Linked DNA regions of Struthio camelus. The protein of the gene in region 2 purifies or fractionates together with the protein of the main gene of each other region. This does not show direct contact. Links are inferred from orthologs where the notes say so. Each region holds a gene or a part of one and is shown on either strand. Other genes may lie near its edges. The genes, in order: SMARCAL1, RPA1, RFC2 and HLTF.

What was found.
Region 1: the proteins of RPA1 (region 2) and SMARCAL1 purify together in Homo sapiens (affinity purification with mass spectrometry; 8 studies listed by BioGRID and IntAct, with this or other methods). This does not show direct contact. The link is inferred for Struthio camelus from reciprocal best matches to the Homo sapiens genes RPA1 and SMARCAL1.
Region 3: the proteins of RPA1 (region 2) and RFC2 purify together in Homo sapiens (affinity purification with mass spectrometry, with the first as the bait; 3 studies listed by BioGRID). This does not show direct contact. The link is inferred for Struthio camelus from reciprocal best matches to the Homo sapiens genes RPA1 and RFC2.
Region 4: the proteins of RPA1 (region 2) and HLTF purify together in Homo sapiens (affinity purification with mass spectrometry, with the first as the bait; 4 studies listed by BioGRID). This does not show direct contact. The link is inferred for Struthio camelus from reciprocal best matches to the Homo sapiens genes RPA1 and HLTF.

Annotation. Positions count from the first base shown.
Region 1 is NC_090947.1:29,554,767-29,561,721, reverse strand, and holds the start of SMARCAL1 (SWI/SNF-related matrix-associated actin-dependent regulator of chromatin subfamily A-like protein 1), read left to right. Parts: upstream 1-3,937; 5' UTR 3,938-4,024; intron 4,025-4,032; exon of another isoform or gene 4,033-4,149; intron 4,150-4,196; exon of another isoform or gene 4,197-4,298; intron 4,299-4,962; exon of another isoform or gene 4,963-5,108; intron 5,109-5,492; 5' UTR 5,493-5,581; coding exon 5,582-6,452; intron 6,453-6,955. UniProt on the Homo sapiens protein: ATP-dependent annealing helicase that binds selectively to fork DNA relative to ssDNA or dsDNA and catalyzes the rewinding of the stably unwound DNA. Rewinds single-stranded DNA bubbles that are stably bound by replication protein A (RPA).
Region 2 is NC_090957.1:16,142,405-16,149,998, forward strand, and holds the start of RPA1 (replication protein A 70 kDa DNA-binding subunit), read left to right. Parts: upstream 1-4,580; 5' UTR 4,581-4,687; coding exon 4,688-4,720; intron 4,721-5,013; coding exon 5,014-5,061; intron 5,062-5,336; coding exon 5,337-5,415; intron 5,416-5,972; coding exon 5,973-6,081; intron 6,082-6,887; coding exon 6,888-6,976; intron 6,977-7,594. Other genes in the region: SMYD4 (SET and MYND domain-containing protein 4), read right to left, coding at 95-227, 959-1,125, 1,439-1,621, 1,946-3,113, 3,589-3,678, 4,079-4,280, 4,322-4,452. UniProt on the Homo sapiens protein: As part of the heterotrimeric replication protein A complex (RPA/RP-A), binds and stabilizes single-stranded DNA intermediates that form during DNA replication or upon DNA stress.
Region 3 is NC_090957.1:12,759,976-12,767,129, forward strand, and holds the start of RFC2 (replication factor C subunit 2), read left to right. Parts: upstream 1-4,146; 5' UTR 4,147-4,214; coding exon 4,215-4,333; intron 4,334-4,919; coding exon 4,920-4,989; intron 4,990-5,647; coding exon 5,648-5,689; intron 5,690-6,082; coding exon 6,083-6,189; intron 6,190-7,154.
Region 4 is NC_090950.1:34,268,331-34,276,168, reverse strand, and holds the start of HLTF (helicase-like transcription factor), read right to left. Parts: upstream 3,013-7,838; 5' UTR 2,965-3,012; coding exon 2,945-2,964; intron 2,738-2,944; exon of another isoform or gene 2,599-2,737; intron 1,681-2,598; coding exon 1,473-1,680; intron 872-1,472; coding exon 705-871; intron 250-704; coding exon 116-249; intron 1-115. Other genes in the region: tubulin alpha-3 chain, read left to right, coding at 7,141-7,143. UniProt on the Homo sapiens protein: Has both helicase and E3 ubiquitin ligase activities. Possesses intrinsic ATP-dependent nucleosome-remodeling activity; This activity may be required for transcriptional activation or repression of specific target promoters.

The DNA.
Region 1 (6,955 bases), on a different chromosome or scaffold from region 2:
GCGCACCAGGAAGAGAAAGGGCCAGAGAACCATGGGTAGTTTTAACCAACAGAAGCTCAAAAGTTGGCTTCACATCAGTACTAAAGCTATAGGATTAACTGTTTATTCTGAGCTTGAAAACTAGGCCAGTAATTTAGGCTCCAGAATAGAACTGGGAGGGCAACTTTTGTTTCTTTAGCCTGGTTTCCTAAGGAAATAAAGCTTATGCAATTAAGTTATCTGTGCGTACATGTGGGCCTCCCCTTTTAACTTTGCCTCCTTCAGCCAGTTCAACCATGTTTCACCAAGATAATGTTTTGTTCTGCATTTGGGGAAACAAACAGTTGTGTAGACCAGAGGGATGTATGATGGCCTGAACTCAAATATATTATAAGACATCGGGGGGTCCAAATTGCTAGTGCCTCCCAGAACTAGATCACACCTCACTTTGTGTTAAATGCTGGCAACACAGAGGCTTTGGAAACCCTGTTTGCATCTTAATGTAGGATATTTTTTTTCTCTTTTAAATCTTTATTCCAGGTGCCAAAGAACTGTCCCACACACCTGAGTTCTATCATATAAAAAAACAAGAGTCAGCTCAGCCTTGCAGCAACCATGTGAGTGTGGTGGAGGCCTGGCAGTGAGGCAGAGGCCATGTGCTGTGCAGACCATTGCTCTGGACTGGAGCTGTGGAGAGGAATCCAGCCAAGAAGGACAGACGGCAGAGAAGAGCCCCTGCAATCTGTTGGAGGGGCTGCACAATAAACAAGAGCAGGAAGGCTTCAACATGCTAGGGGAGAGCAAGCTGTGTAGATAAAGGCGGCTGCTTCAGAAGAGTGGATGGTGACTAATTTTCTTTGCACGGGGTGGCCAAGGAGCAGGGAAAGAGGATTCTTCTTCACTGAGCTGGCTGTCAGAGGGGGGAGCAATCCTCACATGTTAGAAATACCGAGAGAAAAGGCTCCACAGGTCCCCTTTCATTAGGGTTTTAAGGGCAGCTGGGCTCCAAGTTTTAAGGGCTCCAAAGTTCAAATTTTGTCTTTGGTGATACAAAGAAGCTCTGGGAAAGGGTCTGATTCAGAGTGGAGTTGTGGTAGTAGCTGGGCTGTCAAATGGGCCAGTAGGCCATTGTCCTTGATGTGCCGAGGCAGAGAGAAAGTAGAGGGTATTAACAGATGACTAAGAAAAGAAATCCGGGAAGAACTGCTCTGGGAGAATATGGGGTCAGCCACTGTGCCCAGGTCCAACCCTGAACCCCAGCACCTGTGGGAGCTCTGAGCATGGGGTTCTGGCTCTCCATTAGGAAGCTTTGACCCTGCTGAGGACCCCAGACCAGAGAGGAAGGAGCACAGCCCCTCAGCCCACGGATCAGGTGCTGTAGAAAGTATTCAGCTCAGATCCTAGCAGCTCAGATGACAGATTGGTTTTCCCCAATGAGCTGTGCCAGCCCAGGGGCCTTTCCCTGCCTCCTCTGCCCTTAGACCTTCCTTGAAGGACTTGTGTGTGACCTGCACATTCTCACTCTGGTCACTTGACTGGTTTTACCTGGGAAGGAGCTGATAAAGCCTATGGTCTTGGGCTTAATTTCTTTTAAAGGGGGTGACTACAAGTACACCTCGGCTGGTCAAAGGTGAGTGTGTTTGGGAGCTGATAATGGTGTTGCTGAGCTCCATGCGGGCTTCTGAACTCCTCTGAGAAGTCGGAGCACCCGAGGGCTGTTACTGCATGCCAAGCTCTGTGTTTCTGATTGTCTCCCAGATGGCACCAGGCCTGAGGATATGCAGCGGTGAGAACCATGGAGGTGTGTTTGAAAGGGGATGGAGCAAGGTGAGTACATTCAGCACGACAGCAAGTGAGAGAGCCTGAGAGCAGCTCAGAAGATATCCCCAGATGAAGAACTGTGAGATACAGAACAGGTCCAGGATCCGGGGTCACTAATATTTCAGATATTAGCTGCTGTTTGTACAAGATGTATGACAAATGTCCAGGCAGTTTTGGTTTCTTTCAGCAGGAAGCAGTCAGGATCAGCCAGTCCAGTCCATGAGAGGATCACTACATTTTGAGTATGATCCAAATGATGGAAAGATCCTAGTGAGAGCAGTACTGAGAAGCCTGTTTCCTCAAGCTTTTTTGCTAACTGGAGTGGTTCTGAGGAAGCGGAAGAACCATCTCCTCCCCAGCAGAGCTGGGGTCTGCTAACCCACTCATCCTCTCAGGATTTTCTTACTGCATCTCTGTTCCCTGACCTAGTATGTGGAAGGTGAATCCAAGCCATTGCTGGAAGCATGTTCTGATTGAAAGGACACCTGGAGTGCTACCAGCAAACTGCTTGCAAACGGCCTCTCATTTTGTAGGTCTGTTCTCTGCATGGTTGGGCTGTTCCTTGTGCCTTGCTGAAGTTGTGCCATATGGAGCAAATGCTTCAACGTCTGTCTGTGTGTCTGCCTGACCGTGCAACCCAAGAGCTCTTATCTCTGCAAATGATGCTTTAATTTCATTGTCCTCATGAGCTGGGGACAGTCCCTGAGAGGGGCTTTTCTCTACTTCTCCCAAGTCTATTCTTTTCCAGCTCTCCCAAAACATAAGGAGTCATCACGAGAGCCCTGGAACTGAACAGCCGCTGGAGAGAGAGAAAGTGGCTGAAATACTTGCAGGGTTATGCTCTGTGCTTCCTCCCTCTCTTGCCTGTATGTAACTCCGGGCTCTGGTTTAGCTTTGAGCAGCGCAAAGTGTGACAAGAAAGAAAAAAAAAAACTGATCTCTCATCCCTTCCTTCCTCTCTCTGCCACTTAATCAGCTTGAGGCCACTGGCTCAAAAGGGAAGAAAAGGGCAATCACTGATGATCTGAAATGAGACCACAGGACTGAACATCCTTTCTTACCATGCTCCGGCTCTGCAGGGGGGAGCCCTGGCTTCTGGAAGAATGGTCAACTTTTACTCTTTTGCTGTCTTCCTAAGAGAAACTAAGACAAAACTCTTGGTCCAGATCTCTCCTCAGCACTGTGGCTTTCTTTAAAAGTTGCATGTTTGCGAGTGTCTGCGTGTATGTGCCATGCTCACGTTTGTGTGTTTGTGATTCCTGGGTGAATAACTGCACTCCCGGGGTTGTGCTATTTGTCAAGTCGCACCTCATCCTCGCTGCCTGCCTTGTTTTTCTCAGGCTGACGCGCTCCTGACTAATGGCAGTCACTGCTTCTTAATCAGAAAGCAATTTAAGGATAACCTTTTTTAATTAACAGTGGAGAGAAGACTGAATAAATAAACTGTGAAGCAGCCAGCTGGCTGCTTTGTCCCTAGCTGAGGGGTCTGTCAGGTGGGGGAAAAAGGTATTTGGGGACAGCGACGGCAGGGGCTGAAGTAGAAGGTGGGAAGGGGCTAGGCTGCTACCCAGAGACGATCACTCCAGCTACTCTGCTCTGGTCGCTCACAGGGGAATCATGACTTGAACTGTCCAGGAGGGACAGCTTGCTCTACGTATTTAAACCCTGAAAAGTCCTTTTATTCCGAATTTTAAAATGGAGGCAAATAATTACCTCATTGTGAATTTATTGCCACTCTTTTTCCATGTATTAACTCTGTTTTTAATTTCATGCACTTACTAACACCTCTAAGAGTGACGCCCTTCCTCCCAGGCCAACCAAACCCGGGGCACCAGGACACCGTTGTACGTGTGGTTTTGGGAGCGTGGCCCAAAAGGATTGAGGCTGTGGGGCACCGGGGTAGGGCAAAGGCACGGTCCATCACGGGTAGAAGGGCTCCTGCGCCCTGCATGTTCGTACGAGAGAAACCGGGGCGAGAGGAGGGTGCTGCGGCGCCCGGCTCCACAGCTCGAGCCCCTGGGCCGCGCTGCCCTTCGCGCCCATAAGATGGCGCCGGGAGGAGAAGACTACATTTCCCAGCATGCCGAGCGGCCCACAAACCATCCCAGTTCGCGGCGTGCCACCTGCGGTGGGAGTACTTTATTCTCTAGAGCGGGGCCTGCTGGGAGTTGTAGTCCGCGCGGCTGCGCGCCCTTTGGCGGGGATACCCGGCCTCTGCCATCCGGTGGGTGCGCGGGCGTTTGGGGCGGGGGGCGCTGGGACGTGGCTGCGACTCAGGCGCGCTGCAGGGGAGCTTCGGGGCGATGTGGGACATTGCGGCCTGTAGGGCGGGCGCCGGGCCCCTGAGAGGTGAGGGCGGCCCGGGCCCCTGTTAGGGGTGGGCTCCGGGCCCCTGTGGGGTGAGGGGGCCCAGGCCCCTGTTAGGGGTGGGCGCCGGGCCCCTGTGGGGTGAGGGCGGCCCGGGCCCCTGTTAGGGGTGGGCGCCGGGCCCCTGAGAGGTGAGGGCGGCCAGGGCCCCTGTTAGGGGTGGGCGCCGGGCCCCTGAGAGGTGAGGGCGGCCCGGGCCCCTGTTAGGGGTGGGCACCGGGCCCCTGTGGGGTGAGGGGGCCCAGGCCCCTGTTAGGGGTGGGCGCCGGGCCCCTGTGGGGTGAGGGGGCCCAGGCCCCTGTTAGGGGTGGGCGCCGGGCCCCTGTGGGGTGAGGGAGGCCCGGGCCCCTGTTAGGGGTGGGCGCCGGGCCCCTGAGAGGTGAGGGCGGCCCGGGCCCCTGTTAGGGGTGGGCGCCGGGCCCCTGTGGGGTGGGGGGGCCCGGGCCCCTGAGAGGTGAGGGCGGCCCGGGCCCCTGTTAGGGGTGGGCGCCGGGCCCCTGTGGGGTGAGGGGGGCCCGGACCCCTGTTAGGGGTGGGCGCCGGGCCCCTGTGGGGTGAGGGAGGCCCGGGCCCCTCTTAGGGGTGGGCGCCGGGCCCCTGTGGGGTGGGGGGAGCCTAGGCTGGAGAGTGGGCGCTGGGACAAGGGAGCCTGGTGTTTGGGAGAGGAGTGGGGCAGGGAGTGAGCCCCACAGTGCAGGGAGAGGAGGGCAGCCCCCAGGATAGGATGCTAGGAGTAGGTGAAGCGAGGCCAGTTCCTGGGAAATGCGGTGGGAGCTGGGTCCTTGTTCCCATCAGAAGGTCCTTGAACTGGAGTGGACCTTCCTCAAGGCAGGAGCTGACCCTGCCCTTTGCAGCAAAGTATTTCTGCTCTATGCTGTGAACGGCCTGAGGACTGGAGGACGCTCAGGAAAGATGGGGTGTGGTCCCTTCTTTTTTGTTAGGTACCAAAAATGTGAAACACTTCCCATACAAAACTGTGCAGATTAACTGCTTTGCATGCATTTGCCTTTGTGGGGCAGCCTCTGTGCTGCAGGGTGTCCCTGTGTTTGGCCTTTTTATCTGAACTGCCAACAGCTGGGATTGGGGAGGAATGGTGCCCCAAGCTGGCACTGGAGTGGTATGAGCAGGTTCTCCTTTTTCCATATGCTCTATCTATGTGGAACTGCCCTGCAAAGCCTAGCAGCGGTTGTCAGCATCTGCATGCTGACAATGGCTTAGCATTGACCTGACAGCTTTGCTGTTTTTGTGTAGGATCAGTTACAGTAGTACCTGATCACTAAGAATACCTACAGAGTTGAAACTTCCTGTCTGCTATATTTTTATAGGCTGGCCTCCAATCCTGTAAAGAAGCAACTGCCCTGAGATTAACTCCCGATGTGGTTTTGATTCAGGATTATTATTTGAATTGCTGAAGATGTCATCAGGCCTTACAGAGGAGCAAAAGAGAAGAATCGAAGAGAACCGCCAGAAGGCCTTGGCTAGGAGAGCAGAGAGACTAGCAGCCCAGAGAGGTGGGCAGGTGGGGAGCACTGAACCTCAGCTGAAAGAGCGCAGTTTACGCAATCAGGGAAACTTGAAGCAAGAAAACGATCATGTCAGGTTCATTAGCCAGCACCAACAGAATCCGAACAGTCCTAAGGAGCAGAAGAGCTATCTTCATAAAGATTATAATCATTGCACTGCAAACCAACAGATGGCTGGCTCACATGGAGAGCAACAAAAGAATTGTTCGGAGGACTCAGAACAAGCAAGTGGCATTAAGCAATTCCCTGCAACGATTCCAAATTCTCTGAGTTATTCCCATCAACATAACTCAGGTGCTGATGGCCAGAAACACAATCAACAAGCTTTAATTAATCTTGGTACATTCCAGCAGTCCAAGTACTACCCAGCTTACAAAAACCCTACAGAACTATCTCATCCCAGATTAATAGATAACTGGCACCCTGGTGATATTAAAGATTTACAAAGTCAGAGCAAATCTGCCACTAAATATGTTTCACCACCAAGCAGCACCACCCCAGGTGATTCAGAAATGCTGATAAACACAGGCAGATCAACAGAAAAAGAGGGAGGAGGTGGTGCCTCTCAGGCCAGTGGTAAGGTGCAAAAGCTGACCAGCTCTGCTGGTGCAGGCTCTACCTTTGAAGCTGTCTCTCACAAGAAAGCATGCAGTGTTACAAAAGGAAAGTGTGTGAAATATGGAGAAGATCGATTCCAGGTTGAAATAGGGTATAATGCCGAACTCATTGCTGTGTTTAAGAAGGTACCAAGCAAAAGCTACGGTAAGATTTGCTTGTTTGCTCATATCTCTGTTTTACATTGGAACAAAATTTCAGCATCTCTTGGAACTGTAGTTGATATATGCTCTTAGCAATGCATCTGCTGTTAGGGTGGAATATGGAATATTAATGGGGGATTGGAAGTAAAGGCAGTTGAAATTTGGAAAGAAATTCAGGGACTGAATAGCTTGAACTTGGATTTAGCCAAGAAATCAGAAGTCCTGACTTATGAACCATGCTGTGAGATGATTAGTGGTGCCAGCTGGTCAGGGTCTTTTGGGAATGATGGAAGAGAAGTTATTCATAAACTGATGTGGGAAAATGGGTCAGTCTGAATTCAGCTATCACTCAGAGTTGATGGGCTGATTCTGTTAACTGGGTTACTGACAGGACTAAAGCCTGCACCTTTTCTGGTTGCTTCTGTTCTTTTCTTCTGGCTGTTATTTGCATATTTATTATTGTTAGTATTTTTTTTTCTCCTCTGTTGCTGCTTTCTGTGAATGGCT
Region 2 (7,594 bases):
TTTCATGGACAACAGTGCCATCTCATGGCTGGGACCAGGTCTCCCAATGTGTCCTCATTAGCTGCCCACCTTAAAGCAGAAAACTAAGTCTTACCACCCTTGTTGTCGCTTAGCAGTTTTAATGCTTTCTTGATTCGTTGCTGAAGGTCCCATAGCCGCTGTGACAGGCTCTCTCTGCTGACTGAGAGTGCACAAGCTCCATTTGAACAACAAAGTATGTCTTCTCCCTGTGGAAGTCATCCACGCCATCATTCCTGCTCAAGTTCAACTCAAAGCTTATTTTCCATCTCCACGTCTGTATCGTGTCACAGAGCTGCTACATAGTTCCTCAGCTACATTTGTTAAATAAAGGGAGTAGCTCATAAAGTGCTATTAGATTGTTCAGATTTTAGGAGAAACGGGAACAGCTATGAAAACACGTGCTAGTCTGAGCCCACTTAAGATTAAGCTGAAAAAGGGTCATGAGGTACACAACAAACTGTTCATATAAAACACACACTTTTGTTCTCTTTCTTCAAAAAAATGACTTTCCTCATTTAACTCATGGCTAGATGCTGGTTTTGTTTACATCCTGTGAACTGCAGATAATGCAGCTCCCACTACGTATGGCCTCCTGTAGGTACATCCTGTTTTCTAGACTCTGGGTCTCCGTTTCTGTTTCTTAAACACCCCCACTACCCCAATCCATGGCCCTGATACTCAGGGTTTCTTTCAGCAAGTTCAAAGGAATTTTAACTCCTTGTTAAAGGCAGTATTTTCCCTGTAACAGTGGAAGATTGACATACAAGAACATTCCAAGGAAGCTGCTAGAGAGCAATGAGACACTGCCTTGCTCCTGCAGGGTCTTTTGCCTTCAGAGCAGAGGTCACAGACTCAGATCTTTAACTGTGACTTTCCCAGAGACCCAAACGTTACTCACCCTGATATGGTTATATAGTTATAATTATGGAATAATTACCTGCATTGAAGCCCGGCAGCTAGGGCAGCAGAATGAGTTTCTCATGGACACCACACTCTTGACATCAGACTCTATCTCTTCAAGGCACGCCTGACAGCGACACTCGAAGAAATACTGCCTAAGAAGCTGTTGTCTCTCAGCAACCCTCATTCTACATCGATGAGGCCCTGCAAAGGGAGGACAAGGACAGAAAGCGCTAAACAGGTACAGTCCCTAACAAAAGCCTGAAATCTATCCTCGTTTTGACTCAGACTAAATATACCATCTTTTGAAGAGGATGAAACTGGAGACTGTGAAAGCAGAACAGTGGGCATCTGGAGATAAGGACTTGTTCTGATACCTTTGATCAAGACTTACACGTATGCATAAGCTCTAGCAACATTACACTTCAAATTACTATCCTATTAGCAATCAGTCTGCATGCCAAGTAGAAGTGAAAGGATGCCTGGATCTTGAGATAAATACAGAGTTAAAACTCACCATAGCAATGAAAAATCTCTTGGCCTCTTGGGATTGCCTGCGATGCCCTGACAGTGGCAGCTGTCCCACTAAATGATATGCTGATATTGGGACTGCATGAATGGTTCAGAAGGCTGAGGACAGGAAAGAAGGCAGTCGCCAGGCGCACAGGCTTCTTATTTACAACAGCACCATCTCCGGACCCTAAAAACAGAGGGAAAAACAAATATGTTGGGAAGGAAGTCTTAGTGACCCACCAAACTTAATGCAATGGGCACTGGATCCAATCACAGACATCAGTAGGAAAGTTCCTGGCATATTGCTGTAATGAAAAGTAGCTGAATACCATCTAAACGTACACCAAAGATAAGGACAGGCAGGCAGGAGCAAGCCATCAAATTTTACAAAAAACAAGTAGTCATTCCCATCTGCAATGGGAGCTTTTTACAACTGCTAGTTCAGTTTCTCCACTTCACACAAACTAGATGAGCAAGGTTAAGAGGAAAGGGCTTAAAGTGTTTATCTTACCCAACTCTTGCATTACAGTGATCGCTTGCGCGTTACATTGCAGCTGCAACACATGCCTCAGCATTGCTTCTGCCATAATCTTCAACTCTGGAGACAGTTCATCAGACCCATTTTCACATTCTTTTGGCTTGGACCACTCCTCAGACGATTCCCGATTCAAGACAGCAGCCTCTAGACCAGCTTCTTGTAGTTTTTTGCATATAGCTACTATGCTCAGCACGCAAAGGAACTTATGTTCAGGGCTATGCTTCTCAGTATGTGGCAAGAGGTTGAACACAGCTTGGTAAGAACTCTGGTACTGACCGTTGTCATTACAGCCAGGAATCAGAGGCTCTGCCTTCCCAGGGATACCACCTCTGGTATTTGGTACCTCATTGATATGTTTACATCTTGCCTCAGGGCTATGAAGGTCCTTGTCATCATCGTGGGACTGCTCCACCAGCCTACTAACCTCTGCAAATCCTGCCAGCAGAACAGTCCTTAAGGCAACGTGGCAGAAGACCCCTAATGTGAGAAGCAGCGCTCCCAAGGAGCATTCTGTCCTGTGGTACTGTTCCCAGGCCAGATCTGCACAGTTTTGGCTGCAGTACTTTGCATAACTGCATCCACTGCAGGGCACAGAGGCTAAGAGCTGCTTCAGACAACGGTGACAATAAAGATCTGCATTAGTGACCCGAGTGTCCCACACTGTTTCACTACTGTCAGGCAACAGAAGACTCTCCCCTGGGCAGAGAACACTCACAAAGGCCTTCTCTTTCAGCAGATTCTGTCCTGGCAAAATGTCCTGAGAGGCCACCAAATGACGTCCTCTCTCTATATCAAAATTCAAGCTCAAAGATGAAGATGCACCTGAAATGCTGTCATTCTCTTCCCAGATCTCTGACTCTCTTTGAATGGCACCGTGTGCTTCTGGCGCAGGCTCTGGACAGCTCTCTTTCTCATGTACTTTAATCTTCAGTTGACTTATCTTTTTTAGCAGTGCCTGGTGTGTAGCACTAGTCATAGTCTGATCCACAGCAACTTTATTCTCCGCTGCATTGAGGGCCTCTGCTGCATCCTGTAACCTCCCCAAACACAGCAGACATTCAGCTTTCCGCACCAAGACCTTGGGCAGCAGCCTATCTGGATAGCCATGACCTTGAGCCCTCGCAATATCTTCCAAACAAGCCTAGAAACAAAGATGAGGCCTTTTAAACGTACCTGAAAAGCAGTTGAGACTTGTGCTCTTTATCACATCAAAGATTCAACACATTTTACTCAAGATAATACCGATCAGCAGATTCCCTCTCCATAGCCAATCTGTTGGCCAAATAAAGATTCACAATGCAGACCGAAGAGAGAGAAAGCAGGAATTCTTCAGAAACAGTTCCATAACGACGGAAGTTTTAGGCACGCTTCAAAAACACATCTGATGTATACTCTGTTGTGCTAATATCCAAACAGCCTTTATTGGGGGGTTCCTAGAAGCACTCACCTCAAGCCCGACGTGCAAACGTGACATAGTAACGCTCCTAGGCGCCGCTTGGGATCTCCTTTGGCCTATGTCCCCCCTCCAGCTAGGCAGAAGGCCCCAGGTCACACGCTGGGAGCACAGACTTGCTCCAGGCACCCAGGAGCACCTCTGCTCGCCCGCCGCCGCTTACCTCAAAGCGTCCGAGGTGGAAGAGGGCCGCGGAGCGGTTGGCGAAGCACAGGGATACCTCGGGGCTGCCGGGACGCTCGTGCGACGCTGCCTGCGGAGACCAGGCAGACGCTGCCTCACCGGGGCCGGCAGGGCGCCCGCACCGGGGACCCCCTCGCCGGAGGCCCCGTGCCAGGGGCTGACTTGAGGCCTCCCTTACCGGGACCCCCCTCAACCAGGGCCGGCTGTGATCCCCCCTTACCGGGGGGGGGGGGGGAGATGGGATGGACAACCCTAGTCCCCCCCTCACCAGGATCCCCTCAACCAGGGGGCCCCCCACAACGAAGCCCCTCCTTGGGGGCCTCACAGAGCAAAGACCCGCCCCCCCCCCGCACTGAGGGCCCCCTCAAAGTCCCCCTCCCCCACCGAGGCCCCCCTCAGCCGGGACGACCCGGCCCCCCCCCCCCCCCACCGGCGAGGTCCGGCCCCGGAGCCTCCCGCCGGCCGCCTACCTGCGAGTAGAGGCGGGCGGCGGCGACGTACTGGCGGCGCCCGAAGCGCCGGTTGCCCTCCTCCCGGTAGCAGCGCGCGGCCGCCGGCTCCTTGCCCGCGCGCGCCCGCCGGCACAGCCGCCGCAGGGCCGCCGCCGCCTCCTCCTCCTCCTCCTCCTCCGCCTCGGGCCTGCGGGACACGGCGGTCAGCGCCTCGCCTCGCCTCGCCTCGCCTCGCCGCCCCCCGCCGCCCCCGCCGCTCACCCGAGCAGGCCGCAGCCCAGCCGCACCGCGTCGCGCAGCGGCGCCGCCGCCAGCCGCTCCCGCAGCGCCGGCTGCAGCGCGGCCCAGCGCCGGGCGGCGAACGCCCGCCACTCCTCAGCCGGCAGCGCCATCAGCTCGCTCCGATGGCGGCGCCCAGCGGCACCGGAGCGGCCGCACGCTGCGAGCGCTTCCGCCGTACGGCGCCGCCCAGCCAATAGGGGCGCTCCGGCTGCCGCTGCGCGGAGGAGGGGAGGAGCCCGCGCGCCGCGGTGACGGAAGGAGAGCGCGCCGGAAGGAGCGGGGCCAGGCTCGGGGCGGCGGGAGGATTTGGTGGCGGCGGCGGAGCGCGGCGCAAGGCGCAGCACCATGAGCGCGCGACTGAGCGAGGGCGCCATCGCGGTGAGGCGTCGCTGCGCGGCCAGCTCGGGGTGGGGGGGACATTGGGCTAGGTCTGGTCGGAGGGGAGCCAGGCCTAGAGCCGGACTCGGCCCTGAGGCGGCGGCGGTGGGGGGCGGAGGCCGGGCCTGGTGCCCCGCGCCGGGCCGGTCCTGAGGGGAGGGCCCTGGCCGGGCTCAGCGGTGCTGGCCTTGCGCGTTACTTTTGCTGTTTCCCAGCGGTTCCCCCTCTGCTGTGGGTCTCCTGAGCGAAGAGGTGGCATCTCTCTGAGGGTCTCTTTTTTTCCTCCTCTCTAGGCCATAATGCAGGGGGAGAACATCTCCAAGCCCGTGCTGCAAGTCATAGTGAGTACTCTTCCTTACTTCGTCCTGTCAGTAGTGACTGCCTGCGCTTCCTTGTAGGGTTGTGAGCAGGGCCAGACTGCAGCTGAAGTTGCTCAGCATAGGAGCCTTAACGTGATTGAGTAAAGTAGGTTTTGTGTGATTTGAGCTGTGCTGTTGGGAATCAGTGCTCAAGAAGAAAGCTAAATAGACTGAGTCATTCACTAAAGATGTGACTTTGCTTCTGAAGCGTTTCTGAATGAACCAGTGAGGACTAACAGTCTGGTGTTTCCCTTCAGAACACGCGGGCTATTGCGACAGGAAATGGGCCACCGCGTTACCGAGTGCTGATGAGTGATGGTGTTAACACGCTCTCCTGTAAGTATGACAAGCCGTAGTGAGATTTTTACAAGTGTGGAGATGCTAATGTTGCCATAGTTTCTGGTCTAACATCTAGGTTTGTAGTGATGAAATGAGTATTGAAGGAGCAAGTGACACGTAGGGACCGTTTGTATTCTGAATTGTGCCACTGCATTTCAATACTCAGACAAAATCCTTTTTTTCTGGAATTTTTTTGTGAACTGTAGGCAATTAACTCACTGCAGGGTATCATGAGGACAAATCTATAGCGGATGTTTTCATAACAGTGTCTTTGAAGTAGTTTAGCTTAATCATTTTCTTATTTCTTTAATGCATTCTAACTATCATTGCCTGATCGAATCTCCTAAGTTGAGGGATCAAATCCTTATTTTACGTTCAGACTGCTGGTGAATTGTTGGCTGTTACGCTGTTTCCTGTGCTGTAATTAACAGGGCAAGCTGTAGATCTAAATTAACGCCAGTCGACTGACTGGAAAAGTTGTGGCCAACCATGGTAGCCTCTCTTAAGGCCAGCATATGGTAGTTGTTTCAATATTTTTCTTCTACTTTTTGCAGCGTTCATGTTAGCAACACAGCTGAATTCTCTTGTGGAAGAGGAGCGCTTAGCAGCTCACTGTATCTGCCAGATTAACAGATTCATTGTCAACAGCCTGAAAGATGGAAGGTATTCATGTTGTTTTAGATACAGTAATGCTAGTGGGTGCTCTATCCTGTGTGACTAAGCAGAGGCCAAGTGCTTTTAGTTGGGATTATCTGTAAATAATTGGTCTTGAGTGTACAGGAAGGAAAATACAGAAGACAAGCAATAGCAGAAGTAAAAATTACTGAATGTAATGGCAGTGGGTGCGGATGTATCTAATACAGTAGTTTAAGTAATTGAAGGCAACCAGTTGCAATACACAGAATTGTACTGAGGTTATTTTAATAAACCTAAAATAAAATTTACTTAAAATCACCTCTTGTAGAAAAGAAATGATGAAGTTTTCCTGTTACTTAAAGTCGTTGATCTTTCTTTTATGAAGCTTTGAGAGAAGAGAAAGGTAGGATGCTGTAAACTAACAAGTGATTTAGGTAAAGTGACAATCTAAAAACTGTGCAAGTGTGTTAGAGAATGGGAACTGATGTGCTGCATCTTTTTTACTCAATGTTTCTGTAGAGGCAATATAACGTTCCCTTGAGTCAGGGGATGTATCCTCTCTCGTAAGATCTGACTCTGTTCTTTCAAGCCATTTCTGTATGCCCATTCAGCCTGTCATCTTCTGTCTCTGATGAAACGTAATATTGTTTTAAGCCTACCTGTACCTTGTGAGTGGGTTAAGCTGACAGTGGAGAGCTCTTCTTTCCAGATCTCTTGTCCAAAAATCTGCCCCTACTGGTTGTTTCTCTTATCTGCATGCAAAGGATGTTCAAAGTCTGTTGGACTTACAGAGGGAGTGAAAATCTTTATCGCTGTCTGCTCTGTGTTTGTAGGAGAGTAGTTATTCTGATGGATTTAGATGTTCTGAAAACTGCTGATATGGTTGGTGGGAATATTGGCAATCCGGTGCCATACAATGAAGGTAAGTAACTACTGTAGAAAAATACCTTGTCTGAAGAGACTGTTAGGATGGTCTTTCAGCTGCCTGTTTCGTTGTATTTAACAACGTGCAGGCAGATGCGTTCCGCTTCCTTATGCCTGCAACAGTGATGTCCAGATCTTGAACGTCCTTTTTATCTGTGTAACGCAAAATAAACTTTGTTTGTATTCTTGTAAATTCTTCACCGTGGCTGAAGTTTCAGTATGTGGTATTGGGAAGTATCTATAGTTTGTGATAACATTGAGAGCTTTTTATCATACATTAGTGGTCTGCATCTAGACTTCCAGTAAGTGTGCAGAAGCTGTTCTGTATCTTTTCATAATGAGTAACCCAAGAGACTAAGATTTTTGGTCTGGAAAGAAAACAACAGGAGGAGGATGTAATAACGATCTATGAAACTGTAAGATAGCATTGGAGGGGATGAGTAAAGAATGATGACTCTCTCCCTCTCTTCTGTGTTCATTTGATGCTCTTTAGTTCTTACATTATCAGACTGTGGTTTTAAAACAAAGGCTGTACCACACCCCCAAACACTGCATAGTTAAATTATGGAACTCGATGCTACATGATGTGGGTGCCAAAAATTGGCACAGATTCAAA
Region 3 (7,154 bases), about 3.4 Mb from region 2:
AGGTGTCCATACTCCCTCTACTGACTAAAGTTGTAACCACACATCTGGTCTTGAGCTGGGTCCAAGTAGTTTTCTATCATGTGCTTTAGAAAAAGCAAAGAATGGAAATGTCAATAATGTTGTTAGTCTTAAGCATCCAAAGACCAGGAGGGTAGGGCTTGCAAGTCAGTGCTCTTGAATCTTGTTCTTGTAGCCTAAAGCATTGGACAAGTTACATTTATTCATCATCATATGCATAAAAAGTTAATAACACTTCTTAAATTGTGGTGATCTAAATCCATTATTTTTAGATGGTTATAGAAAAGATTTTTAAATACTGTAAATATCAGATCTTCCTGACAGCAATAACCTGAAATTAACCTTTGCATCTACTTTTTTCACAGTGGTTAATGGGCTTTAGCATGACTTGCCTCGCTTCCAGCAGTGTAAGTTTATTAACTGCAGACTAATACAGCCAGCTCTGCTACTGCTTGTAAATTTATGTGACAACATAGAAAAACATGCAAGAAAGAAAGAAAGAAAATGTAAAAAGCAATTAGAAGTCATAAATAAAAGTGCTCAGGTAACAGAGCTGACAGAGTCATGTTGTGTTTACACAGATTACTCTGGCAAGCGACCGTTGCTCTGCAGCTACTGAAGATGCTCACGTGAGAACAAGGATGAGGCAGTGGCTAGGGAAATAATCGAGAAGATAGCGTTCTGGTGGAGACTGAACATGCGACCTCAGCTATATTATTTAGGAACAAATTTTAAACAATACAGATAAAATTATTCATTAGTCAACTTGCACTGATCTGAGCTTATGTTAAAACAACATAAACGTACCTCTCGGAGACGTTCTACAGATAAACGTATTAAAAGCTGAGGGGTGCTACGATGCTGCAAGAACAAGGACAAGTTAATATCCTGTGTATACTCAGAGCATCATCACTGTTTTTGCTCTTAGAGCTCAAACACCATAGCGCTACAAGAATCAAGGCCCCTGTCAGTCTGGGCCCAGACATGCCAAGCCCAGGAAAGCCACTAACACAGTGATGCCACATTTCATAAAGACCAGCCCAACCTCTCTTCTAATCTTCCCATCATTGCTTTCACTACTAGTCTTTGTACCAGCTTTACTTTATGCTTTCAGTCTCAGTGAACGCAGGATAAAATGGTTGGTAGTATCAGAATTCATCCCACTCTCTCCGAGCTAACAGTGTGAAAGAGCAAGAGCAGGGAATATTCTCAAAGGGGACTGCAGACTCCACTGGCGGCAAGACCATCTGCACTACGTGACCTACTTGTGGCAGCTGAACAACAGCGCACTGCAATAGGAGGTGACAGTTTTAAGCTAGACTGCAGGGCTGGTGGGGATGGGGAATGAGCAGCTGAAGGAACCCTGCACTTTCTCTAACACTGTAATTTAAGATCTCAGCCCTTGGCCTTCTAGACCTGCTGGATAGTGAATATCATATTTGTCCTACCAATAACAGTAAACTGGATGCAGTGTTAATCCAAAAGCAAAATGACCTTGAATATAAGACTATTTTTCTTCTACCCCCCAGAAAGATTGTATACAAGACTTTTATTATTTTTCTATAGTGAAAAATATGTATGTTGCATGTTCATTAACAACTTGTCTGAAGTCAGCTGCTTCTTTTAGGCTTTACCTCTATTGCCTTTTGGTTTTTACAATTCACACGCCTTCATCATTTCATCACTGTCACTCTTCACCATCTTCAACTTCTGCCTCACTTTTAGTGTCTTCGCTAGTCTCACCTTCTTCAAAGTCTAACAAACCTTCTTCAGTTCCTACCACAGGACATGATATACAGGATTTCTGAAACCCTTTTGCCACAGCTTTTGCACAACTCCCTGACAAAACCTGCTGTACTGGCCTTCTTCAGCTTCTCTGTAGGGGCTAGAGCATGAGCTCTTGACCAGAGCCAATATGAGAATAAAGACTCTCCATGGTTTTGAAAGGACTCATTCCCTACTACATTAAGCACCTACAGCTGGGTCATCACTGCTCCTGGGATGACCACAGGATCTGTGGTCATCCTCTCTTTGAATGCTTCCAAGACAAGCATTCCTCTTGCTTACTAAATTGTTAGTGAAAAGCATGCATCTGTACTGTACAACAAATATTTAATGAACTTTTTGCATATATGTTTTGGGGTGGGGCAGGCAAGAAGGAATTGTCTTAAATTCAGGGTCATTCTCCTTTCAGGATAATACACTACATCTACCGCATTCATGTGCGTTCATGCATCTTTGATGGTATATCAAAAGAGTTCTGCCTCTTCAGCACTGATTTGGAATTCATTTTATCCCGAATGCAGCCTGTGATTTCAACAAAGAGACTACATTAGCAACAGTACAAGTTTTGGAACAGATAGTTTTTAAAAGTTTCAGCTCAAGTTGTTGTGACATCTCAGCAAACTAGGTATGCCTATCCACCTGCCGTGCATCACTATCAACATTCTCGTGACCTCAGCAAATAATTGTTCTGTGTTAGACACACTAGAGAATCACTGTGGAAATGTGAGGAGCTCCTGTCTACATAGAAGCACACAGCACTATAGTGCTTTAGAAGACTGTGCTCCAAAGAAACGCATATTGCCACTGCTTAGTGGACACGTATCACAAAATCTTTCATCAGGCTCTCTGCAAAAACTCTTATGAATGATCTTTCTCACAGTCCTTTGGGTGCTTATCAGCAGCAATACTGCACATATAATGGGAGAATTAATGCTGGCCAGGAAAATTATATCTTATCTAGAGGCTGGCACTTCCTAAGAGCATAACAATTTGGCAAGAAATCAAAGCATGTCCACTGTGTTATACTGACAGACTTCTATGACCAGCAGTGCTGAATGCAGCTGAGTATTTCATTGTCTCATGTTGGCGCCTGCTGAATACTGCAGTAAGCTGAACCCAAAGACAAGAGTAACACAGTGAGTCTGGTGTATTAGAAGAACAATGTATTCATCCAGTACGAGTGCTATGAACAGTCTAAACACTGAAAAAAGCCAACTGCCTTGCCCTAGGAAGCCACATAATCATGTCTTTATTTATTCTTCTTACCTCCAGTGGCTGAAACCCATAGTTACTTTAGCCACTTAAAGTCTGCAGATCACTTACAGTTTCACCCTTATGTAACACTTATCACAAAACCACTATGGACTGCATACAGCTATTAATAAGAAATACAACAAAATTAAACCAGCAGCCATCCTGCCTACATAAACTACACTTTGCATAACATAAACTAAACCCTCCAGAGTTTTGGAATCTTTTCAAAAACTCAGCAGACCGGATCACTGTCAGGCCACAGGCAGAACTACTTCCAAAGGCTGAAGGCAATGCTTCCATCTGCAAACACCCAGGTGTCGACCTCAAAAGCCAAGCAACAGGCACCAGGCCTTAAGATAACTACATTCAAATGCAAACGTTGTGGCAAGTGATGCAAAGTCGCCCTCTTAGAAAAACATCATCGCTCACATAGGACCTCAAATATGACCAGTACTAATTTCTTGTTTCACATCCTGTTTGGAAATACTTCCCAAGGGATTATAGCTCAGACTGAAGGAAAAATCCCCTGCTCACTAAACCAACAGAAGTACCATTGATTCTGCTGAGCATAGCAGAGCCTGAGGATGCACCAAGGCCCCAGTAACTACTGAAATACCAAACCACCAAACTCTTAATGATAACAGCGCCACCACGACACCCAGCTACGGTAACATAACTACTTACGATGCTTTGTGATGCATCTTTTATTGTTTTCATTTTATACAGGGAAATAAAGATCGCTAAAAAAGGAAACAAGTGCTTAGACCTCTGGGTTGCAAACACATTACTGTTTTTACTAGGCGACTTAACACTTAACCGGTCAGTAAGGGAAGAAGAGCAGCCAGACTCCCAAAGAACTGAGCGCAAGCCCACCCAGCAGTGCTGTGAGCGGCCCCGACGTCTAGCTGCCTGCCTCTCCTCAGCAAAGCCCGGCCCGGCACGGCCCCAGCACCTCCCCAGCCCAGCTCCGCCGCCAGCCGCCAGCAGCGGAGGGCGCAGAGCAGCGGCCCCAGCGCCGGCTCCCAGCAGGCCGTTCCGGGGTGGATCGTCCCCGCCGTCCCGCCCCGCAGGGCGGGCCCCGGAGCGCAGCGCGGCCCTGCCCTCACGGAGGCGGCGGGGACGGCGGGAAGGCAAGGGCCGGGCCAGCTGCCGCCGGGATGGAGGCGGAGGCCGCGGAGGGCGAGAGGGCCGGGCCTGCGGCAGGCGAGAAGCGGGGCTCCGCCGAGCCCCCGGCCGCCGCCGCCCCCGCCGCCAGCGGCCATTACGAGCTGCCGTGGTGAGGGCCGGAGGCGACTGCTGAGGAGAGAGCGCGGGGCGGCCGTCGGGCGGGTGGGGGAGGGGCTGAGAGGGCGGGCCGAGGGGGCCCGGCCATTGGAGCAGAGCGCGGCGGGAGGCGGGGCTTGGTGTGGCGTAGCCTATGGGGCGAGCGGAGGGGCGCGCGGCCGTTGGCGCGAGCGGAGGGGCGGGGCAGGGCCGTTGGCGGGAAGGCGGGGGCGCGCGCGGCGCGGCCGCGTCCCCTCAGGAAGGGGCCGTGAGGGGCCCGGCCGGTCCCTGGGCCCAGCCTGGGGCTGAAAAGGGGCAGACGGGGGGGTGCTCGTGTCCTGGCTTCACCCTGCCTTCCCTGTTTTCTGATAACAAAAGTTACTAACTGGGACGAAGCGAGGATTGCAGAATTAGTGCCGTGGAGTAAAGCACTTAGCGGAGCGAGGGGGGAACGACACCCTCCCTGGCCTTTACGTAAAACACATCGAGCCCTCTTTGCTCCGTGCTATCTTAATGTAACCCTCCTCTCGCGAGCAGCGTAAAACGCTGTTACAAGTTCGATTAGGTGTGCTTAAGGGGTTGGGGGTTTACTTTTCCAGGGTGGAAAAATACAGACCAATGAAGCTGTGTGAAATAGTTGGAAATGAAGACACTGTGAGCAGGCTGGAGGTGTGTTGCTGTTCCTTTCTGTTTCGTAGGTTAGCTCAGAAAATGTAATTCCGCCTAGATCCCCAGACCGAAAAAGCACTTTTGTGTTTTGAGGTGCATACTGGAGTAAAAGGAAAAAATTTTCTCACTTAACGTAGAAATCATACAATTGAGAACATAGCGGAGCGGTGTTCTAAAGAAATACTCCTTCTCCAAGTGGGATGTTGCTTACGTTGGCCCTGTTTTGGTATGAGTTAGAAAACTTGTAGCTGTTACAATAATAGTGTTTCAATGAATAAATGTAGCTTATACTGCAATGGAAAGAAACATAATGAGCGGTTTTTCCTTCTGGAAGAAAAATATTCTCCTTGATAAACTGGTTTGTGAATGCAGTGCTTGTAAGCAGAAAGCTCATACTAGCAAATATGTAATTAAAGCAGATGGAAGGGCTAAAAACTCTGCTATTAAGTGCTTTTAAGTTTTCTTCCATATTATTCTAGGGATTGACTTCTAACAGATCAATTAAAAAAACATGAAAGCAGTGAGGTTCAAAAAATGGAAGCAGGAGGGAGGAAAAGAAATTATTAGCTCCTTTTCTCATGGTTAAAATGGAGTGGAATTGGGAACTGTTTGGTCCCAGTTTTCTTATATCAATAATTTTTTTATTATTTTATCTTAGGTCTTTGCAAAAGAGGGAAATGTACCAAATATTATAATTGCTGTAAGTATTGCTATGCTGTACTGTATTTCACTATGTTGGTCCTAGCTTTTGAAACTGAGCCACAGTAGCCTCCCCATATAGATTTGCATGGCTCCTAAATGTATGGGTAAAAGAGACCCTGATTATATGGTCACAGAGCAATATTCTTGGCAGAATGCAAAAGAAAACCTGAGAATTAACTTGGTCCTTAGGTACCTAGTGAAGCATGTCTTGTACTTCTCCCTGCAGCATTTCTGTCCACTGTTGGAGGCTGGATTCTGAACTCAGGCAACTCCTAGTCTGATGTTCTCTCTGCAGTTCCTCCGTTGCAGCTGTTTTTCCTGACTGCGGGCATTGCGGAGAGCAAAAATTAGAAAAAGGCATAAAACTTAACGGCCATTGTTGCATTCCTAGGGTCCGCCAGGAACAGGTAAAACCACCAGTATCCTCTGCTTGGCTCGCGCTCTGCTTGGTCCTGCATTAAAGGATGCTGTTCTGGAGCTGAATGCCTCAAATGATAGGTGAGGATGAGAGCTGTATAAATCTAATCAAAGCTTTAATGAAGAAGCAAGCATCCATTTTTATTTTTAGTTGAACTCAGGCAGGCTTGATAGGCTTAATGCTGCAGTAATGCCTCTAATACTTATTTTTAATGCAGTTTTTCCAATTAAAAGTTAGGCAGTCTTTGGCTATACACCTATTAATGTAGCTATTATCACCTGATATTTTACCAACTTGATAGATATTTTCAAACACAAAAATATAAACAGATGGTGTGCAGAATCTGTAATGGTACTGTCTTCTCAAGTTTACTTTAAGGAGTTAGGCTTCTTGCATTCATAAAGACCCTCCTAAGAATGAAAAGCGAATAAGTTGTTTGGAATGGATCTCTTCAGTGCTTAGGACAAAAAGTGATAGAAATTAGACCTGTAAAGGTAGTTGATTAAACTGTAGGATGAGCGTGTTACATATGTAGAGGGCACTGAATCTTTTCCAAGGATCAGGTGCTAAAGCCTAATTATAATATTTTCCTAAGTCCTTTAGCAGACCCTGTCCTGAAGTATTGTGAGGACTACAATGGAAGGCTGTATATGAGCATAATACATTGTACTGCCTTTGTTAATATCAGTTACAGAAGAACTATAGAATTATGACATTCCTTGTTCTAAACAGAACAAAAATAAAATGGTTTATTTTTAAAAGTAACTCTTTGGTGGGCTTCTGTCTAGGAAAGTGTCCGTGTTGTGCTAATACAATGCAGTTTGTCCAGCTATTTCTCTTAAATGGTTCTGAATTACAGCTGAGTCTGAGGGCATAGCTACATAAAGTATCGGCAAAGTGGCAAAGCAGTCTTAAAAGCTCCTGCCCTTGTTTGCTTGCTACCCTTACCTTTTGACAAGCATAACTGCTTTTGTGGCAGTACTGTAAGGTCACTGAAATAATCTTTTAAATTATTTTTTCAAAACTTCCAGAAAGGAGGCTTATG
Region 4 (7,838 bases), on a different chromosome or scaffold from region 2:
AAAGTTTTATGAATGACAACGCTATGACAAGGATCAAGCCCTTAAACATTTCTTCCAACCAGGGGGCAGTTCAACTTCAACATTTAAAAAAGCAAGCATAAAACGTTCAACGTACCTTTCAGAGGAGGAGCCAATTTAAAACCATGCATTTTTAGCTGATCTAGCACAGCTTCCTTGTTCTCTTCTCTTCCCCAAAAACTCATTTGTACAGGCATGGTGAAGACATTTTTTGCTCCATAAGGGACAACCCTGTTAAAAACCAGAAAAAACCCATGCTCCATTAATCTTTAAATTGTTTATAATCTTCTACAATGAATTGTTATTTTTTTCAGTACAAGGTATTCCAAAGTGCTTATTTTCAGCAAAAGATACAGTTTTCCAGACAAGCTTACGCAGCGTGTCCTAAGGCCCGTGTTACAAAATCTATCGCATCTAGTTTGTTCCACAACAACCTTTCTTTCGGGAATTTGCTCCCGCTAGGATCTCTGAAGTTTATCATATATAGAGAAGAATGAACTGTAAAGGAAGTAGTTCAAGAGAGTAGTAAAGACCCTGAAAGCGTGAAGCTTGAATCATGTTACTCTGAGTGGTCATTTCTGCCAAAAGAGAATAATTGTAATAGTTTTCACAACATGCTAGGGCGGCAGCAAAATGCTTCCATTACTTTATATTCATGGAACTAAAAGCGTAATTTGCCCACTTACCCTTCAACTACTGCTAGTTTGTTGTCCATAATGCCTGCCAATGCTGCTGCTAGTTCTTTTTTAATATGGCCTACTTGGTCTCCATTCACATTATTTACTTTCACCGCATTTTTATCATAAGGATTATTGGGCTCCCTCTGCAGCGCAACCATTTCATTGTTATTAACCTAACAAAAACCCAAAACACATTCATTAAGGTGCAAATTATTTGCAGAAATATTTAACATACATGTATTTAAATGTCCTGAAGTTAAAGTTAATCTGGCATAGCATTCTGCTCGGTCTCTGTAATAACTTACTATTTACTCAAAATACCAAAAGCAAATACAAAACAACAACCTGACAGAAGTACTCCTGAGAGCAAGAACTACATCTGACTACCAACACAGCAGATGAGTGTTAGCCTCGTGAAACCTGTTCGGTAAAGGAAGAAGCATCCCTTTTTGTCAGCCCGAACAGTCCAAAGGCCTATGTAATTTCTTGCTTTCAGTCACTTACATGCGAGTCAGGTGGATGACCAGATTTACCAAATGGCTAAAGCAGATTTGAAAGATAGCTACCTTAATTGCCTTTTGAAAAACAGACTAAAGTTTAGATTATGCATTCCCTGTAAAGAATTTTGAATACAGCAAGTGGGAAAAGAAAAAATTATCTACGAGCACTACACTTAGCCAAAAATTCTGGGGAATTTTGAAATTTAACTAAATAGGACTGTTTTGAAGCTGGCAACAACTCTTCGTTCTGTTTTATTATTTATCATGCACTTACAACCCCTTTGTAGTATCGTAATCCAACAATAGTTCCCCGCAAAGTTCCATATAAGATAGCTGAATCGATATCCTCATCTGTTCCAGAAGCGTCACCTATAGAGAAGTCTTCTAACCCAAGACTGGAATAAAATTCAGAAGAGGAATAATCAGAATAGTTTCTCTCTCCTTTGTAGGTGTTACGTGGAGAGCATCCCCACGCAGGACTTCTGCAGAAAGACACAACGTGAATTATTTGGCAATAGATTAATTAATAATAATAATAATAGAATGATTATTTCCTTGTAATCACTTATTTTCACCCCTTTACATGATGGCTACCTATAAACGTAAGTCTAGCAATTTTATTCAGATAACATTTACCTGAAAACATTCAAACAAGTCTTCTGTTAGAGTAACATTTTTTCTACCTTTTTTTTTTTTTTAATCTCCAGTAACTTTGCTTAATCAAATTACAATAAAGAGGAACTGACAACATAACGGACTACACTAAAGCATTTGTGCATTTTACCATCTATTCCTGCGTTCTCTCACAGGAGTATCTTAGTCAGCTACATTAAGAATTACAATTATTCTTCCAGCCTTAGTTATGTCCCTAATTGCACTTGGTACAGTAGCGTTTCCGAGTATTTTCCAAACACCAATTTATCTGACCTAAGAGAAAGGTTAAAAAAGTGTCGATAACCAATTACCCCTGCATGACTTCATGCCTACAGAGCCACAAGAGACAGCATAAAAGAACTAAGAGAAATACTTATCTTATGAGTCGCAAGGCTAAACAGCAGTTCCCTACATTTGCATTATGCTTTACGTCACCCTTTGATGTCTATTATCAGCACTTTACATAGCTTTAGAAGAAAACTGCTACTCCAACTTGGCACAAGCAATGACGCTGTATATCTGTAGTATAAGTCTCCACTAGCCAGCTTCTCTCTCCGATGAGGAGAAACACCTAATAACTGCTGCTCTTGCACAGCAACTGACAGACGGAAACGTCTGCAGTCAAGTCAGATGCATAGTCAAGCGAGGGCAAACGTACTAACCGTTGCCTAATGGGCAACATGTGACAATAACACCTCGATACACGTGTAAATGAACCTGTAACAGTTATTCATGACCTTTTGTACCTCGGATTCCATTAAGAATACTGTCAACGAAAGCGATTAGTTTCAATACGAGTTATCTGGAGCTTGGCACCGCTACACTTCGGCTTCTTTCGCATGCAACCTCTAAAGCTGCTACCGCACAGTCAACGCTACGCTTCCTCTGAGAGCAAACACAGTCGCAGAGGTTCGCTTAGAGCAGGCCGCGAGGAGCCAGCGAGGGGTCGCCGGCAGCCCGCCCGCCGCTGGCCGCACGGAGAGCGCCGCAGGCCCGCACGGCGCCCGCCACCGCCACGGCGGAGCGGCCCCGCACTGCGCGCCGCGCCGCGCCCCGCCCGGCCCGGCCGCCCCCTGCCCGCCCCCGCCTCACTTGCGCGGCCTCCACGACATGGCGGCGGCCTCGACACCGCTCCGGCCGGCCCTGCGCCCCCCGCGCCTCAGAACCGACTGACAACAGCAACCGCCAACAGCGCCGCAGCAGGCACAGGCGCCGACCAATGGAGACACGGCTGCCACGGCGGGGGCGGGGCCAGCGGGGCAGGGCGGGCCCGCCCCTCCCCTCCCCTCCCCCACCCCACTCCCCCGCACGTTTTTAGCTGTGTGAGGGCAGTCGGTCCCCGCTCTGACAGACCGGTACGGACGTTGCCGCAGTTACGGGCAGTTTTAAGAGGGAGTTAATTCCCTCTTTTAGAAGCTGATTTTAATTTCAGTCTACAGAGATCTTTCAAAAAAAAAAAAAAAAAAAAGAGTGCTGTTTCCTAGGCAAGATCCTGTTCTTGAAATTACTGACAAATTCTCACAGATGCAGTGATATAAGACGGAATTTTGTCTACGCGCCTGTTTTTAGCCAGTGCAAATTTTCAAGTCACAATCATGCTACAATTGTATACAGTTTAACAACATATCAAAAACTCTAATTTTAGCCTAATTTAACTACTACTTTGGCTATTATTTCTGGTAAAAGTTAAGAAGAGAAAATTCAGTGTTCTCCTTATTTTGCAGTAAAAATATCTGCAGAGATTCAATGATTACCCTTGTAAATGTAGTAAAATTACTATTTTTTTTTTTTTGCAATTTTAGACTTAACAGTTTTTACTGCTAGCGTGCGGAGTACCTTGTTTTGCCTGTTAACTAAAAAAGTCAGTGTAGACATTAATAAGTAATGTAAACAATGCTAACAGTGTTAACATTTTATCACTGTAAGATGGAATGTATTTTAAAGACTAAATTAATGTTGTACTCCGTCATCCTACTGCAGTGGAGAATAAATGGGAATAGCAATTTTCTTATCCTTATTGTAAAGAAAATACTGCCCTGCAAAGGAATAAATAACGAGTATTGGATTTTAAGGGCCATCAATTACTCATTAGTATTTCCTATATGGTAAGGAAGCTTGATGAACAAATAACATGCATTGCTTAACTCCACAATGCTCCCAGATCAACTTGCATTTTATAACCGAACAAGAAAAAGATGTATAACCCTCTATTGCAAACCAGCAACCTTCAAAAATGTTTGCTTTAATAATTGCATTTGTAGCTTCCTCTTTACTAAAAGTACTAGTTTATAATATTTTTATACTGTTTTTCTGTTTGTCAACTCTCTAAATTTCTAAAATTTATTGGTGAATTATAGTTATTCTTTATATCTCTCCGGCAATTAAGGCATACTCTATTTGTGAAAAATTATCTGCTTCTCCAATTGAGACACTCTGAATTTCAATAATACTGAAGAGATGTGAGAGGGAGGAGAGGTCTCAAGCAGCGTCCTGTCTAAAGTTATGTTAAAATATGCTAGATACATCGATAGAAAGTTAAGACTGATAAACTCACCATGAGCATTGTCACCAGCTAGGAAGTCACTGGAAATGACGAAACCCCAGGAATCATGGTGTGCTAAAAATTACATCAGGGTAACTTTTGCCCTATCTGATTTTAATCACTATCCTATCTTGTTCCCAAGCCAAAGTCCCAGTCCAAAGTATTTAAGGAGAGTAAACAACAGCTTTCATTATTGTCTCCAAGTGACTGTACGATAGTTGACACCTTTACAGGGAACATTTACAGATAAGATAGTAAGAAAAATGAAAATGTGTAAAAAGAAGTTTTAAAATAAACGTGAAAGGACTTGCAAGAGGAAATGGATGTTGGGAGAGGGGTGAGAGGGAGAAAAAGGAAAAAAAAAGAAAGAAAAAAGGTCTTAACCAAAACACCTGAAGACCTCAACGGGTTTAAAGACCTGATAGCTATACTTCTTTTTAAATAAAGACATATAACTTTATGCTAATAGAAAAATTATCAGTTTTACTACTCCAATGTATTTCAGAACTTAAAAAAAAAAACAACAGATGCAAATGTACACTAAAAGCACCTGATATCAAATGCAAGTTGCATAAGAATGAATAAATGGGAATGCAGAAGCTAACAGCACGATCACTTTCAGAAACAGTATCTATTGCCTATGTGTATTGCTATTGCATTAAAACAATTTTGTCTAAACAAGGCTAAAGGTATTGCCTCTTCAAAGCTTGTTTCTGGTCCTGCACACACCTAGGGTCCAGCCAGCAGCACGTTTCAAGTATTCTCTGTCATTCATAGGGTAAACCACCCTTATTTGCAGTTACATCCGCAACTGCTTCAGAAAAGCTATTCACAGAAAGACATACAAGATACTTGATTGCTTTCAAATAATCCAACGCAATTTTATAGTAATAATTACTTTTAACACATTCAAAGCAAAACAGAACATAGCAAAACCTCAATTTTGGCAATTCATTCATAAAGAGAAAACTCCAAAGATAAAAGGACAAACCGTTCACAAACAAAATGGCATCCCCCCACCCCGCCTTGGTTTTGTTTGTTTTTGGAAGTAATTACAAGATTACATTTAGCTTTAACGCTCAAGAGTGGGTTCAAGACCTCTCAGCAAGGCCGGCAACATATCATTTTGCCTGTATTCCTTTCAGAGAAAGGGAAGGGATGGACCAGGGACAAAGAGCAACGGGCGACAAGCCTAGGCACCTCGGGCCAGCTGCTCCGAAGAAAAGATGTTTCAAAGAAAAGGTGCAAATACTGCTGCCGCTGAGTAGTGTCACCTCCCTCAGAAAAGGCCACTGCCAAAAACCCGACCCTTCCCAGCCTGGTTTTCCAGGCTTTGTGCCACCGCAGGTAGGACTTGGCCTAAGAAGCCGCCCACCCCGCCTGCAGTTGGGACTCGCCCTTCCAACATCATACTTACCTAAAACAACTCGTACACCGACTTTTTGACCAACCTTAGTATTTCAAAATGAAGTTGCAAGTCATAATAAAAAGCAAGGGCTGTGGTGGGTTCACGTCATTAATTAATTGGACATGTAAGGTGTCTGACGCCTTTAAAAATGAGGAGAACTAACAAGTTTTAAATGCCAAAGTGAGCATGTTTTCAAATGCACTGAGTGTTTCTGGAACTACGGCTTTTAGCATTTAGTAATGACGAGCTTATAAACAAGCTCATCTTCTTGGGCAAGTAAAGACTTAACACTATCTACCCATATGCTTACACACATATTTTTAATGTACCAAATTTAACTTTTCATTAACTAGAATAGTATGCGGTAGCTGTCATTTAAAAATCTGAACTAACGCTAACATGCTATATCTAGTTTATTTGTTGCAGGTTTACCTTACCAAAAGACGAAGGTTTTTTTCTTCAACTTTCATTCACTTCGTCATATATAGAGATCATCATAACCTGGCCTGAGTACTCCTATTGTACCAGACTGTTAATGAGGAACACGCAGGTTAAAAATCAGTGGCTGAAGAAGACTATTTAAACTGTTAACGCCTTCCTGTCTAATCTTCACTAAAAATGCATTAAAATAAATACAGATTTCTAGCGATGTTTTGTCCATGAGATTTCTCTTCGACTCCTAAGTAGAAGCAGCAGCACACGAAAATAATCTTCTCTGCTCCTACGGAAGGAACCACGAGGCGTTCACGGCGTTTTTCAGGGTGCACCTGACCCTCTACTGCAGCCTCCGCGCAGCAGCAGCTCCACGAGGAGGGCGCACGCCGAGCCCGGGCGGAGCAGCAGCAAGTTCCGGCCCTCACCACAACGGCCTGTGGCGAGGCACCTACTCCAGAAAGCAGCTGCGCTCCTGCCCGGACGTCCCGTCCCGTCCCCACGGCTCCGGGGTCTCCAGGCCCTCAGGCCGCCCCGCCGCCGGAGCCCCCCAGCAGAGGGCAGAGCGGCCCCGCCCCGCCCCGAGGCCAGGCGAGGGGCGTCGACCCGGCCGCCTCGGAGCGCGCGGGGCCCCGCCTGCCCGCGCCCTCCCGCCCAGGGCCGCTCCAGCACCCGCCGCGCAGCGCCACAGCCACGCGCCTGCACCACCCCACGTGGGGAGAAGACCGCGCTCCGCTAATCAGAGGCCTCCGTTCTCCTCCGGACAGCCCGGGGAACAGCCAATGGGGAGCCAGGGCGCGCGGACGTGAGGCGAGAGGCGGGTAGCCGTTGGCAGTTGGTGCCGCTCGGCGGAGGGAAGCGGACGTCGCCTGGCGTAGCCGAAGCTCCTCGCCTTAGCAAGGCAACATGGTGGGGAAGGGGATCCTCGCGGCTGGGGAGAGAAGGGGAATTTGGGATCGCATCTGTTGCGGCAGGTCCGGGGAGTTTAGGGTTGCGTGTGCTGGAAGAGGACTTGCAGGGTGCACCCGCGTGGAGCCTCCGCGGCAGCAGTAAGGCGGAAGGATTGGGAGGAGGAGAGAAACCGCTGTAAGAGCTAATAGTTCAGTCGAGGTTAGGCGTGGAAACTAACGGGCACCTAGCGGGACGAGAGCGCGTACAAAAGCAACGAAGGGCAGTTACCGATGTGTGCCGGCTGCACGGAGCGGTGGCGGGAGGCGAGGGACGGACTAAGGCTTGACCCAAGTGGCAGATGGACGACAAGAAACGGGATGGCGGCCGCTAACGAGCGCGTTGCACCGTCGGTTGGTTGCGCTGCCTTTCAAATCTTGCGAGCGCAGCCAATCAGAGGAGAGGAGTCTGAGCCGCAGCCAATAACGTGGCGCCGGGTGGTAGCAGTGTTGAAGGGGCGGGATTGGTAGTTGAGCTTTGGCGCCTCTTGCTCGCGCTCTGAGAGTCGCGTGGTAGTAGGCAGTAGGAAACTGTAAACGGCAAGGTGGCAAGAAAGCTACGGAGCCTTGGGGCAGGCCAGATGGATGTGGAAACGACTGCGGTTAGCTTCGCTGTCGAAAGACTGACAAAACCACGATGGTGAGAATTAAAACATG